2 linked regions of the Elephas maximus indicus genome follow. The protein of the gene in region 1 binds, or shares a complex with, the protein of each later gene. Links are inferred from orthologs where the notes say so. Each region holds a gene or a part of one and is shown on either strand. Other genes may lie near its edges.

Region 1 (6,832 bases):
TCCCAGCATCAACACATTTCCCGTGGTGGCCCTGGGGCTGAGTGTTGGAGGTCCAGCAGGGACACCTGGACGTGAGGCAGGGCCTTAGAGAGGGCTTCCTGGGGACATGATACTGGGGGGTGCGGCCCCTGAATGGCAGTGCCCATTAGGCCTGCCCACTCCAGAAATGTCCAGGGCTGCCAGGGACAGGGTGGAAGCTGGGGCTGGGGGCCAGGGGAAGGAGGGCTGGCTGGAAGGTGGGCAGCGGTAGACTAGCCAGCTGAGTAGGAGGGAAGATTCGGCAGCCTCAGCTGGGGCCGAGGGTGAAGGAGGCATGGATTCCCGTGCCCCGGCTCCCGGACTACCCCACTGAAGCTCAGCCCCGCAAGAGCCAAGCTCCCTGGGCTCGCCCTCAGCACCTTCTCAGCCTTTCTAGCACCCCGAGCACTGTCTCCGGAGCGCCAGGGTCCGCTGTGTGCCTGGATTCCCCCAGGCCAGGGCCTAGACAGTGCCCGAGGAGCCCCAGGCCAGCACGCTGGTTGGGAACACTTCAGAAGTCCTTTATTGGGCCCATAAGGCCGTGAGCTGCCCTCAGAGGGGTCCCAGACTGGAGTCTTCAGGTCCATGGTGTCCCTGCCCCCATCCTGGCTAGAGCAGGGGCTGCATCCGAAGCACTACTTGGAATGCTCCTTGGCGCGCTCCTTGATGTAGTCCCAGCCCTTCCTGGAGTAATGGCAGGCCTTGGAGGGAGCCACTGACAGTGCTGACATCACCGTGACGATACCTGTGCAGAAGGGGGCCGGGGCGGCTGCCCGGTGAGGCTCCCCACTCAGCTACCCAGACCCTTCAAACAAGGGAGTTGGTCCAATCCCCAAGACACTATAGGTTCAAAAGGCTTTTAGAGGAACCACCTCCTGCACTGTTACTCCAAGTGGAGAAACTGAGGCAGAGGAGGGACTTGTTGTTAGTTGCCCTCTAGTTGATTGACTTGGGGCAACCCCACGTGTGCAAAGTAAAACTGCTCCATAGGTTTTTGAGGCTGTGACCTTTCAGAAGCAGATCACCAGCCCTTTCTTCTGATGCCCCTCTGGGTGGGTCCCACCTGCCGACCTGTTGGCTAGCTTAACCTTTGTGCTTCCCTGGAGCCGGAAGAGTCAGGGCCTTGGTTTGTGGGAGGTCACATGACAAGCTCAGACCCTAATCCTCCATCACCATTCTACCCAAGCAATGCACACACCCCCCACCCCCTGCCAGCCTCTTAGCCCCAGTCAAGTCTCTATCTCCTCTTCTATCTCCTCCATTAGACCTGTGGAGGCATACCTGGGGCTAGGCTAGGCAACCCATTACCCCTCCAAAAAGAGGCCCCAGGGGCCTACCTGAATTCCAGGAGTCGCGGAAGGAAAAGTTAAGCTTCGGAGCGGGTGGGAGCTGGGAAGAGAGAAAGAGATGGGGTTGGTGAGGGGAGAAGGCCCAACAGCCCCTCCAGATGCAGGGAGAAGACCATGTGCCTCAGAATCAGGTCTGCACAGGGAGGGACCCAGGGAGACTCCAGAGCTGACCCCCGCCCCCCGCCCCAGCCCTGGCCTTCCTCCAGCCCAGGGTACCTGGGGTATCTGCAGGCCCGTCTGCTTGCACACGTACTGGCTGAACTGGTACATGGCTGGGGGGACCACCTCTTCAGCCTTCCGAAGGGCCGCCTGGCTCTTGTCGCTGGGCCCCAGTAGGTCCTGGTCATACACCAAGTAGACTGCGCCTCCTGCCACACTGCCCTTGATAAGAAACCTGCGGGAACAGGAGGGAGCCACAGAAGCTCAGCGAGCACGGCAGGCCACCCTCAGGGGTCCATGAACACAGGGAGAAGTTGGACTCTCCTGGCGGGGGCGCGGATCACAGTCGAGGGTGTCACATGTGTAGCCAGGGGAAGCACAGACCCCCCCCCCCAATACTGACAGTGTGCAAAGCAAAAATGCTCAACTCTATTTAACTGGCAAACTAAGGCACGGAGACGGACAGTGGGCCACTCAACGTCCAGCGGAGAGCAGTGGACAGCGAAGACTTAAGACCCTGGCCTTCTGACCGCCAGCCTAGGGACGGGGCCTTCCAAGTGTTTCCGAGCGTTTCGTGCATGTCTCACGCTGCGCCCAAAATAAACGTGTGTGGAAGGATTCTCTGGGTATTCCCGTTTTGCAGAAGAGACAACTGAGGATCGGAGGTATCTCGGCTACAGTGGGCACTCGAGATCGCTGGGAGGTAGAAAGGAGGCGCTTATGCGGCTTCTGCAAGCCCGCCCCGCCTAGCCTCAGTTTCCCTATTTGGGCTATGAAGGCCTGACACTACAGGAAGCGAAGAGAAAGGCCTAGACCAAACCGCAGGGGGTGGTGCCCGCAGGAAGGGACTTTCTCTGGGGTCCAGGACCCGCCCGATGGTCTCACGCACCTCATTAGCGACCACACGCGGGCCACCATGGTCACTCCACTCCGCGCGCAAGGACACTCGGCTGGCCCGCCACTTCCGGCGGCGGCGCCGCAGAAGCCTCTGGGAAGGGTAGTCTCTCTTGCCACCCGCAAAGGCCTCCGGGAGTCAGAGGCGGAGACTCCCTGGCTCCAAGACGCCAGAGAAGGGCTGTTGTCCCGCCGCGAAGGGCTCGTGGGAAGTGTAGTCTTCACTCTCCGGGATGCCGCAAAGCTGCTGGGAAATGTAGTCGGCAGAGATCTGCAGAGCCGCCGAAAGTCTCGCCTGGCCGCGAAGTCTCTTGGGAAATGTAGTCCAGTCCGGCTCCGCCCTGGCAGCGCAAGGGGAGGGAGGTATCGGACGTCTGGAGAGGCCTAAGGGTAATAACGAAGGAGATGCTGGGGCTCGTGAGACTCACCCGCGCCCGCGCGGGGTACTGAGGGCCCAAGCCTAGGGGAGAGCGCCTAGAAGGAGGTTGTCACGGCAACGCGGTGGCTGAATAGTTCGACGGAGGCGGGCCCGAAGTCACGTGATACACATTAGGCGTGGAACCTCAGTCTAGTGGGCGGGGCCGGGGCCGCAGCCGGGGGTGGGGAAGCAGGGCGGGAGGCCGTTGCCCCGGCAACGCCTGGCGCGGAGTCCCCACGGCCTGGTCTCTCCGGGATGGGTTAGGAGTCACGTGACTACGGCCCTGCGGGACTGGTAGCGGTCGGGTGCTCGAGCGAACGCGGCCGGGAAAGGGAGGCTGGAGGGAGGGTCGTGTTTTGGCTCCCAGGCTGGGACCCCAGCCGGGCAGGACGGCGGGGGCAACTGAGGCCTGAGTGGGTGAGTGCGCAGGTGGAGGTGTGCAGTGGACCGCACGCCCCCTTTGCCCAGAGAGTAACATTAGACAGGCGAGGTTAAGGACCCTGTCGGTTGTGCAAGAATCCGGTGCCCCCATTCCTTAAGGCTGCTTCATCCATCCATCCATCCCTCCCTCCATCGCTCCCACCTCCCCACCTCCCCCATGGGCTTCTGTGGTGAGGACGGGGGGTGGAGGGTGTTTGATTGGCTTCATGGACTTTCCTGGAAGAAGGGAGAGGTGGGAGTGCATTCACTGCTAAGGGGGTACCTGGCGAACTGGAATAGGGTGAGGGGTTCACTTTTCTGAGAACCGAAAGATTCATATATGGGAGTAGTGGGCAGAATGTTGGAGAGGTGGGCAGGGGCCAGGCCTGCTGGGCTTCTTTGGCTGAGGTGAGGAGCCTGGCCTCGTCCAAGGGCAATGGGGAGCCCTGGGAGGGTTTGGAGCAGAAAGACCGCAGGTAGATTTCTCTTGACAGTGAACGTGTACCAAATTATGAAGATAATTTCAGGCGATGACAGAATGTTGAGGAGGAGCTCAAAAGGCTAAAGTTAAAGGAAACAGAGACCCGACAAAGGGCCTGGAAACCCTGGTGGTGTAGTGGTTAAGTGCTACAGCTGCTAACCAAGAGGTTGGCAGTTCTAATCCACCAGGGTGTTCCTTGGGAACTCTGTGGGGCAGTTCTACTCTATCCTGTAGGGTTGCTATGAGTTGAAATCGATTCAATGGCAGTGGGTTTGGTTTTCGTTTTTTTAGAAAGGGAAAACCCATTGCCATCGAGTCGATTCCGACTCATAGCAACACTATATATATATATTTTTATAGAACAGAGTAGAACTGCCCCCCATAGGGTTTCCAAGGAGAAGCTGGTGGATTCTAACAGTCGAGCTTTTGGTTAGCAAAGGAGCTCTTAACCACTGTGCCACCAGGGCGCCATTTAGAAAAGAAAGCCCTTTTGGAAATAATTGTAGATTACAGAACATCCATTCACATGTGCTTGGGGAAAGCATCGCAGGCAGAGAGAACAGCCAGTGCAAAAGTCCTGGGGCAGCATGTTGGTGTGGTTGAACAGAATGAGCAAGGGGGCAGGGAGGAGCTGGCCCACGCAGGACCTCTTTGGCCATTGAGGAGTGGGGTTTTGTCCTAAATCAAAGGGGAGAACTTTCAGCAGGGTTAGGACAAGATGTGATCGGGCTCGTGGGTGAAGGGAGAAGGCTCCGAGCCAGGAGAAGGTTGGTGCAATAGTTCAGGTGAGCCCAGTGGTGGCTGTGGAGATGTAAAGGAGGGGACAGGCCCAAGGCCATCACCAAATGCTGATTCAACAAAGGTGCAGCTGGAGAAACGGTTGTGGCTGTGGCCACTGCAGGCCCAGGGAGGGCCATGAAGGTGCTGCTCTTCACAGGGCTCGGGGCCCTGTTCTTCGCCTATTATTGGGATGACAACTTTGACCCAGGTGAGTGACCAGGGCTAGGGGAGGGGAGAAGGTATTGGGCCTGCTGTCCTGTCCACCTTGAAGGCTGAGCACCCCTGCCCACTGCCAGACAGCCTCCAGGGAGCCCGTGTGCTCCTGACAGGGGCCAGTGCCGGCGTCGGTGAGGAGCTGGCTTATCACTACGCCCGCCTGGGTGCCCGCCTGGTGCTCACCGGCCACACGGAGGTCCTTGTGCAGAAGGTGAGCTGCCTCGTTGGTCAGTGTGGGGTGGGGTGCAAAAGGGAGCCTGGGGTTGAATTCCTGCACCCATCCAGGCTTACTGTGTGACCTTGGGCAAGTTGCTTAACCTCTCTGAGCCTGTTTCCTCATTTGCAAATTGGAGACAATAAAAGTATCTTCTCGTGGGTTGTGGTGATGTGTCGATTCAATACGGCAGTGAGTGTAAAGCAATGAATTGATAAAGTCCAACAGCCACTGAAAGCCCGTGTTCTCTAGAGAAGGGTGGATGCAACAGCCCATTGTCCAAAGGGAGCTTGTGGCTCTTGGGAACAAACCTTCCAAATTTTCCGGAGAAGCCAGAACTCTGGAGATGGATGTGAAATCTCCCGAGTTTGTAATGTTGGTGATTGGTTAAACGAAACGTCAGTAGGTCATTCTGGCCCAGGGGGCCGCCAGTTTACAGCCTCAGTGCTAAAGCTTTGGGCGTAATGTTGAGTGGCACCCGAGGCTCACAGTAGGTGAGGGGGTTTCAGTCTGAGGACCCAAGAGGGGGCCAGCTGAGGTGGAGGGGCCCACGGGCAGCTCTGCCCTCCCCCCCAGGTGGTAGGGAACTGCCGGAAGCTGGGCGCCCCCAAGGTCTTCTACATCGCGGCGGACATGGCCTCCGCTGAGGCGCCGGAGCGCGTGGTGCGGTTTGCGCTGGAGATGCTGGGTGAGGGGCGGGGCCTAGGCCGAGGGGCGGGGCCTAGGCCGAGGGGCGGGACGCTAACTGGGTGAGGGTGTGGCAGCGACGGGTGTCCTGGGGGCGGGCACTTAACGGGGTCGGGCGTGGCTAAGGGCGGACCCGCGCTGGATCCAGGGATTGGGACACCGGACAGGGACGCCTCGGACGTGGGACTAACCTGTATGAGATCCAGGGGGTAGCGTCCGGCGCGGGGCCTCCCTAAACCCAGGGGGTGTTACTGGGGCGGAGCTCACTGTATTCAGGGGGCGGGGCCTCGGGGGCTGGCCCCGGGCTGACCGGCCTCTCCGGGCCAGGCGGGCTGGACTACCTTGTGCTGAACCACATCGGCGCTACCCCGGCCGGCACGCGGGCCGGCACCCCGCAGGGGACGCGCTGGCTCATACAGGTGCTCCGTCCCCGTCGCGGCCCTGGTCTGCTCCACGGCGCCGGTCCGTCCTCCCGTCCGGGACCACGCCCCTCCCAAACCTCTGGCCCCGCCCGTGCCTGCCCCGCCCCTAGGCCCCGCCCCTGCCTGCCCCGGTCCCTGCCCCTTTGGGCCTTGGCCCCGCCCCGCCCCAGGCTTCGCCCTGGCCTCGTCACCCCTGGTCACCGCCTCTAGGTGAATTTTCTGAGCTATGTACAGCTGACTTCCTTGGCGCTGCCGAGCCTGACGGACAGCAAGGGCTCCCTGGTGGTGGTGTTCTCGCTGCTCGGTGCGTACACATGGCCTCGGTTCTTCGGGAGGGGTCTTGGGAGGGGGTGACCGCTCATCCTGGGGGGCTGCAGGCAGGAAGGCTTCCGGGAGGATGAGGCGCACCTTGTAGCCGGTCAACCCCGCCCATGCCACGCCCATGCCACGCCCCTAGGCCGCGTGCCCGCCTCCTTCTCCGTCCCCTACTCAGCAGCCAAGTTCGCGCTGGAGAGTTTCTTCGGCTCCTTGCGGCGGGAACTGGACGTGCAGGACGTGAATGTGGCAGTCACCATGTGCATCCTGGGGCTCCGGGATCGCGCCTCGGCCGCCGAGGGAGTCAGGTGAGGTCGGGCAGGGGGCCGGGCGCGGCCGGGGGCTGTCGGGGCCGTGCAGCCTCCGCCGCAGCCCCCCACCGCGCCCTCCCGTCCCCAGGGGCGTCACGAGGGCCAGGGCGGCTCCGGAGCCCAAGGCGGCCTTGGCCGTGGTCCGCGG
Region 2 (7,839 bases), on another chromosome or scaffold:
AAGTATGGCAGGCATGGAGGTATTACACTGACCCTGGGCGTGTGGCACCACTGAGTAGTTTCTATTAATCCAGCAGTGACCTGAGTTTGGCTACAAGCTTCCTTCCGGAAAAGTGGGCATTGGAGGCTCTCCGTGGTTGCCAACATATTAACCTGTCTCTCTATGAGTACTTCTCTACTGCCTACTAAAACTCGAGCTCAAGTCTAAGACATAGCTCCAGGTACGCGAAAAGATGAGGCTGGAGAGATAAACAGTGGCCAGATAAATAAGAACCTGATGAGCCATGTGTCTTAGGTTAGGTTCTCCAGAAAAGCAAAACCAGTAAAGCGTATAAATACATATAGAGATTTATATCAAGGAAAAGGCTCACACGATTGTAGAGGCTGGAATGTCCCAAGTCCATGGGTTAGGATACGGGCTTCTCCTGATTCTCATAGCCACAGGCGTTGGTGAACCCAAGATCCACAGGTCAGACAGCAGGGCTCTTGCTCACAGTACGAAGATCGATGAATCCCAAGATCAGCAGGCAAGATGGCAGGTAAGTTACAAGCTCAAGTCTTGAAAACCAGAGGTCAGACAAACAGGAGACGGCTGCAGGATCCAGAGTGAGCAAAAGCCCGTGAGCCTTGCCAAAAAGTCCACTTATATTCGATGCAGGCCACATGCCCAAGGAAACTCCCTTTCAACTAACTGGCTTCTCACAGCAGATCCCATCATGGAGGTGATCACACTATATCAAATCTTATCATGGAAGTGGTCACAACATCATATGACTGCCAAACTACATCACAAATGCCAAACCACTGAGAATTACAGCCCAGCCAAGTTGACACACAACCTTAACCATCACGCCATGTTAAAAATTTGGATTAATAACTATGTGACCTTGGACAAATTAGCCAAGGAGATCTAGGCAGAAGCAGCAGCATAGTACAAAAGCCCAGAAAGGTGAAAGAAAGTGGAGCATGTTCCTGGTACTAGAAAGGCTTCAGTGCGGCTGGAGTATTGAGTGTGAGGACAAAAGTAGCCTGAAGGTGAAAAAGTAGACCAGATCATACATGGCCTTAGATAAGCAGGATGACCATACATCCCTGTTTTCCAGAACAGGCCCAGTTTTTATACGTTGCTCCAGGGTAATTACATATAGTGTCCCCATAATGTTCCCTTAAAAGTGTTGCAGTTTGGATGATTCAATTATTGGTCTTGACTCAATACTCCCATTTCATTCTCTACAGTGAAAATAAAGTGATCATCTGATAGCATCTACCCATTTTCCTGAAACACTTCAATGGTCCTCCATTGTTTTTAAGATGAAGTCTAAGCTCCTTAACGTAAATACATATATAACAAATGAATACATGAATGAATTAATATACGTAGTCTGAGGTTTAGATATAGGTCTAGGCAGGAGATACAGTTTGGGGTCATCTCCATATAGTTAGTAACTGAAGTCATAGGAAGCAAGAAATTATCCAGAGTGTATAAAGTGAAAAGAATAAAGGTCTGTGGAAGAAACTCCAATGTCTATTCTCCCCTTCTATAATAATAATAGATCCCATAATTTTTAGCTGGACGCATCACTGCTCAGAATATAGACTTAATTTTCTAGCCTCCCTTACTATTAAGTGTGGCCATGTGACAAGGTTCTAGCCAAAGGAATATAAGCAGAAGCAGTGTATATTACACTTTTGAGAAGTGTCGTTAATGTGGAGGGGTGTATCTCTCTTGTCCCCCCTTTCACTTTCCTGTTATTGGAATACAGATGTAACAGCTGGAACTAGTAAAGCAATTTTGAACCAGTAGGTGGAAGCGCATGTTGAAGATGTTAAAACAATGAGATAGAAGAGGCCTGGATTTCTGAAAATCACAGAGCCACCATATCAGCCCTGAACTGCCTACATTTATAAGAAAAGGCAACAGACAGTAGGTTATTACTGATATATATGATTTTCTGTCACTTATAGCTAAACCTAATCAAGACTTAGTGAATGGAAAGAGAGGAGGAGCCCCCAAAGGAGAATGAGACAACAGTCAGTTTGTGTTCATTAAAAAAAAGGTTTAAAATAGCCACCATAAAGAAGAGGTGAAACAGCTACCTAATGTTAGTTAGATTGGTCCAGAATGGAGGTTTTTTTCAGAGGATAAAACAAAATCGTTCCAATAAGGTCAGGTAGTTGAGTTTATTGCAAACAAAGTAGTGGAAGAGATGTACCATGAGGTTTAGATTAGCTGGAAAAGAAAATGTGACTGGAAGGGCCTAACAGTGAAAAAGGAGAGATGTGGTGGTGGTTTTAAAACATGCCTATAAATTATTTTGTATATCTTCCTTCAAAAGTAGAGCTTACTTCCTCTCCCCTTGAGTATGGGCTGTACTTAATGACTCATTTCCAATGAATAGAATGTGATGTATAACACCCAAGATTAGGATATAAAAGGTAATATAGCTTCTACCTTGTTCTTTCCCTTGGGTCACTCATTCTGGGGCAAGCTAGCTGTCATGTCATGAGGACATACTTGTTTTTTACACTGCTAAATTTTGGGGATAAATTGTTATATAGCCATAGATACCTAATACAGACATAAAGGACCTAAAGATCTTGATGAGATTAAAAAAAAAGAGTGTGGATCAAAATCAAAGAGCTTGAAGAATAATAGTTGAGGTCAGAGACGAGAGTACCTGAATTTAAAATCTCAGAGGTGGAGTAGTTCTTAATGATAACAGAGTCAAGGGTATGGCCATTGTTATGGATAACTGAACTGGAATGAGTGTAAAAGTCACTGGAGATGAGGGTATCATGGGTCTACAAGGATACTGAAGTTGCCAAGGATCACCAAACATCATCAGACAAGAGCCCATACAGAATCCTAGAATGTCAGAACTGGAAATGACATATAGTAAGTCATCCAGTCCATCTAGTTTTTCTAAGTGTGGCCCAAGGACTACCTGCATTAGAATCACCTGAGGTACACATCAGACATTCCCCTACCTTAGGCCAAATGAATACTAACATCCAGGGGGTAGTACACAGGAATCTGCATTCTATAAAATTGTCCAGGTGATTCTTACACACACTAAATTTGAGCACCTTTGGTCTAGTTCAACCCTTTAGTTTATAAGACTCCTCCGTTAGAGGGGTCCCTGGATGGCAAAAACTGTTAAGCACTCAGCTACTAGCTAAAAGATTGGTGGTTTGAACCCACCCAGAGGCACTTCAGAAGACAGGCCTGGCTTTCGAAAGGTCCCAGCCTTGAAAACCCTATGAAGCAGTTCTACTCTGCACACATGGGGTAGTTGTAAGTCAGAATCAACTCGACAGCAACTAACAACAACCTCTTTTAGAGGCCAAGATCTTATTTTGATTCTAATACTTTCAATTACACAAAGCTGCCTTTTGTGCCCAAAACAATCTGCAACTTTGGTAAATCCATAATAATAATCAATATTTAAAAATAAATTAAAAAAAAGAAAATCCATATTCTTTATATACGATCTGATTCCCGTGTGACTTCTCTTCTGCTTTCTACCTCACTCACCAAGCTCCAGTAAATTTGTTCCCACCTCAGGGTCTTTGCATTTGTTGTTTCTTCTGACTGGAACACTCAGATATTCATAAGTGGACACTCATGTTGCCAAGTCTCAACTCAAATGCCATCTCCTTCAAGTTTTCTTTCCTTCCAATCTAAAGTAACTCCAGCCCCAACCCTGTCACCCTCTATAGTATTTATCACTATCTGCAATGATCTTGTTTATTCATTTGTCTTTTTTTTTTTTTTGGTCAAAAATGTACACTTAAGGTCCACCAGGTCAGGGCTTGTGTGGGTATTGTTCATTACTTCATGCCCAGCAGCGGGGCACCAAAGGCAGGGGTGGAGTGGTCTACTCTGAGTGCAGGCAATAAGGAAGACGGATTATCTGTATTTAGAAATAATACATAATACAATGAAATAAAGTTGTTCTGATTTTTATTATCATCGCAGAGCTGGTGATCTAAGCAATGTCTGTGATAAAATACTTCTCCCTACAAAACTTTTTTTTTTTTTTGCCTATGTTCTAAATAATTTTTGTGGTTAATGTCGAGTGTCATATAACGTATATGAAACCTTCAAATTAGCACACTGTTATAACATCATTTTACAGCCATTGTATTCATTAAAGTAAGTTTGGAGAACTCCCAGTTATACAGTAAGTCCTCAACGCATTCAGACTGAGCTACATGCATTCCTTCAGAGAATAAGTTCACAAGATTCGGAATTTTTGGAACTCGCTTCTAGTGCAGTTTGTGTCTCCAGCCCCTGTGGTATGTATCCCTGCATTTAAACAGGGACCAAAAAGAAAAATCAAACCCACTGCCCTCCAGTCGACCCCCACCCCTACTTGCCCCGTAAGGTTTCCAAGGCTGTAAATCTTTAAGGAGGCCGACTGCCAAATCTCCTCCCAGGACCAGACATCTCGGTTAGTAGTCGAGCGCTTTAACCACTGCAACACCGGGGTTATCAGGGTCAAAACTCAAACCCGTTGCCGTGGTGTACATTCCGACTCATGGTGACCCTATAGGACACAGTAGAACTGCCCAATAGAGTTTCCAAGGAGCGCCTGGTGGATTGGAACTGCCGAGCTTTTGGTTAGCCATAGCACTTAACTACTAGCCACCAGGGTTTCCTTACCAGGGACAGGGAGCGTCGGGTACAAGGATGAAACTGTTTCTCCGGCCCGCAGCCAACGAATAGCAGCAGCAGCTTCCTGAAACGGCTCCAGGAGGGCGGAGAAAGGGCGGGACGGCGCGGGGCTGCCCTGAAGAGAGCCAAGTCGAAGTGTTTTGTCCCTCTTCGCTCTCCGTATGAAAAGTTGGGCGGAGAGGTCACAGGCATGGCGGCCGTTAGGGTAAGTGAAAAGACACCTTGCTTAGCTTACTTGGGTACAGATAGCCTTTCTAGTAAGTGTAAAAGTGATCCTCTTGACTTCAGAAAGAGGCCTGACAGCAAGGGGCGGGGTGGGAGTAGAGTCATAGGAAGATAATCAAGGTCAGGGAGTCATTAACGTTTGAAGCTTCAAACTCTTAGCCTAAAAACACCTGCCTTTCCATTTAGATTTTCCTCGGCTTGGGACACCGCTTTCCTCAATTTCCTGCGGCTGACTGCCTTGCCGAGGCACAGTAAAAACTGCTGAGCTGCGAGCACCAGCAGAGGTTTGGGTCTCGAACTGGAAGAGAAATTCTGGGCGTTTGTCTCGGTGCACGGGGCGGGGCCTCTTAACCCTATCCAAAGACTTTGTTCCGACATGTTTGAGGGCGAAATAGGCTAGAATAGAGAGGTCCCAGAGTCTCTCTGCGGTACGCGGGTTTATACATATTGTTACTACTCCCTGGGTTCAAAAATTTTATTTTGCGTTCTGTAATGAAAAAAAGGTGCTTTTACTTAGGAAGGAGCCCTGGTGGTACAGTGGTTAAGAGCTCGGCTGCTAACCAAAATGTCGGCAGTTCAAATCCACGAGTCGCTCCTTGGGAAACCCTATGGGGCACTGCTTTGTTCTGTAGGGTCGCTATGAGTCGGAACCCGCTCGACGGCAACGGGTTTTTACTTAGGAATCTGTGTACGGGAAGTGACTCAGCTGGCTGTTTCACTTCACGAAGTAAGTTCAGTAACAGCAGTTTACAAATATTTAAGTAGCGGGTTTTAACTGAAAAATGACCTGCCAGACTTGCTGGAGATACAAATATGAATTCATTTCAGCCGAAGTTTACTTGAACTTCGCTCAGTATTCATCTTGATTCGCCTTTCTCACTTTGTTTCTGAAATTCAGGTTCTCATAATTTATCTGAACTATTGCAGCAACCGCCTAACTGGACTCATTGCCTGACTCTCCTGGAATCCATTCTCCTGTGCTGCCAGGGTAGCTTTACTAAAACGCAAATCTGATTATGTCCCTCACCTACTTAAAACCCTTTATTGGCGCTCCATCATCTGCCTTCTGGAAACAGGTCAAACTCCTGTACCTAGAACACCCTACCCTGCTTTAGTTCTCTAGCTTCGTTGCCTGCCATTCAGGAACCCTCCTCCCATCAATACTGAACTACTTGTTTCACTCTTCCACACCTTTTTACCTGCTCTTTGGCCCCTAAATGCCCTTCCCCATCCTTATCTAGTAAGTTCCTACTCACGGTTCATTCATTGATGTAACAGATATTTATGTAGGGCCTCCCCATATGCTAAGTACAGAGTGCCTTTTTCAACAGTGTATCCTCAACCTCCCCAGTCTAAATAACTCTTCTTTGTGCTCTCAGAGCACTTTAGGCATACTCTTACCTTAACGTTTATCACATTGTGAATAATAAACTATTTACTTGTCTCTTCTACTCTCCTGAACTATAAGCTTGAGCTCTATAATTATAACATATTAATCTTTGTATCCTTGGTACCTAAGGAGCCCTGGTGGTTCAGTGGTTAAAGCGCCAGGCTGGTAACTGAAAGGTCAGCGGTTTGAACCTGCCGTCTGCTCCACGGGAGAAAGATGTGGCAGTCTGCTCCCATAAAGATAATGTACAGCCTTGGAAACCCTATGAGGCAGTTCTACTCTGTCTTATAGGGTTGCTATTAGTTGGAATTTTTTTTTTAATCCTTGATATACCTAGCACAGGTCTGACTTATACTAGGTGATTAATATATTCTACATGAGTAAATAAGTGCCAGGCAATGAGAATAAAAGAGATTAAATTAAGCAGTGGAGATGCAAAAATAACACAAAGGACTAACTCACAGTAAGGGAAGTGCCTTGCCTCAAGAGGTGTAGGAAGTGCTCTGAGGACTCAAAAGAGAAAGAGCTCATACTTGGTTGAAAGGGGATTAAGAAAGGCTTCATGGAGCAGTTACAGAGACAGAAAAGGAATGGTCATTGGTAAAAATCAAACCAGAACAGTGTGTTGTCACGGAAGCAAAGAAAAGGAGAGAATTGAACAGGTCATCTAATTTGACAATTAAGAAGTTGCTGGCAACTGCCATTTATTAAGTGCTTACTACAGGCTAAGCACCGTGCTAAAATACATATGTTATTTCACTTAATTCTCAGGACAACTTTATGTGGTAGATATTATGATCACTGTTTTACAGAAAAAAACTAAGGTTTATAGAAGACAAATTGCCCCAAATCATAAAGCTGGTAAGAGCTGAAGTGAGATAAGATGTTTGAGTGGTAGAAAGAGAACCTAGATTGTAAGGGGTTAAGGAAAGGATATGGAGTGGTGAACTAGCATTTGTTTAGCACCTACTTTAGTCAGATACTTTACATATATTATTTCAGTTTAATCTTCTTGATGACTCTAAGAAATGGGTAGTATCCCCCCTTTTACACATGAAAAAACCGAGGCTTGTATTAAGTGCTTGTCCCAGGTCATAAAAACTGCTAAGTGGGAGAGCCAGGTTTAAACACAGGTATATTTGGCTTTGAAGTCCATGATGTTCTCACTATTCATTGCTGCTTCTGGTAAGGTTGGTGTATACTATTTTGAGAAGTTTGATGGTGAAAGGAAGGAATGAAATCTTGGGATGAGGTAGGAAATTCTTGAAAAGGTATATATTACTTTAAAGAAAAATCAGGAGAGTTGAGCAAGTTTTGAGACAACGGGAAAGGTGCCTGGAACTAGTATAGAGGGAAAGATAATAATGGTAATCACAGCTGTTATGCTGTTGGACACACTAAATGTGTGCTAGGCATTTTGCTTAGCACTTTATGTGCATTTTCTCATTTATGTGTCATAGTGACCCTATGAGTAGGTGTTATTATTAACATCTTTTTACAGGTAAGGAAACTGAAGCGTTGAAAAGTTGAGTAGCTTGCCCACATCA

Evidence for each region.
Region 2: MICOS13 (region 1) and APOOL share a complex: the UniProt entries of both Homo sapiens proteins name them as parts of the mitochondrial contact site and cristae organizing system (MICOS) complex. The link is inferred for Elephas maximus indicus from reciprocal best matches to the Homo sapiens genes MICOS13 and APOOL.

The regions. Positions count from the first base shown.
Region 1 is NC_064821.1:8,832,179-8,839,010, forward strand, and holds MICOS13 (MICOS complex subunit MIC13), read right to left. Parts: upstream 2,805-6,832; 5' UTR 2,445-2,804; coding exon 2,416-2,444; intron 1,762-2,415; coding exon 1,584-1,761; intron 1,408-1,583; coding exon 1,356-1,407; intron 764-1,355; coding exon 654-763; 3' UTR 519-653; downstream 1-518. Other genes in the region: HSD11B1L (hydroxysteroid 11-beta-dehydrogenase 1-like protein), read left to right, coding at 4,655-4,727, 4,816-4,946, 5,526-5,637, 5,964-6,098, 6,269-6,362, 6,516-6,681, 6,773-6,832. UniProt on the Homo sapiens protein: Component of the MICOS complex, a large protein complex of the mitochondrial inner membrane that plays crucial roles in the maintenance of crista junctions, inner membrane architecture, and formation of contact sites to the outer membrane.
Region 2 is NC_064846.1:80,232,172-80,240,010, reverse strand, and holds the start of APOOL (MICOS complex subunit MIC27), read left to right. Parts: upstream 1-4,837; 5' UTR 4,838-4,867; coding exon of another isoform or gene 4,868-4,882; intron 4,883-7,839. UniProt on the Homo sapiens protein: Component of the MICOS complex, a large protein complex of the mitochondrial inner membrane that plays crucial roles in the maintenance of crista junctions, inner membrane architecture, and formation of contact sites to the outer membrane.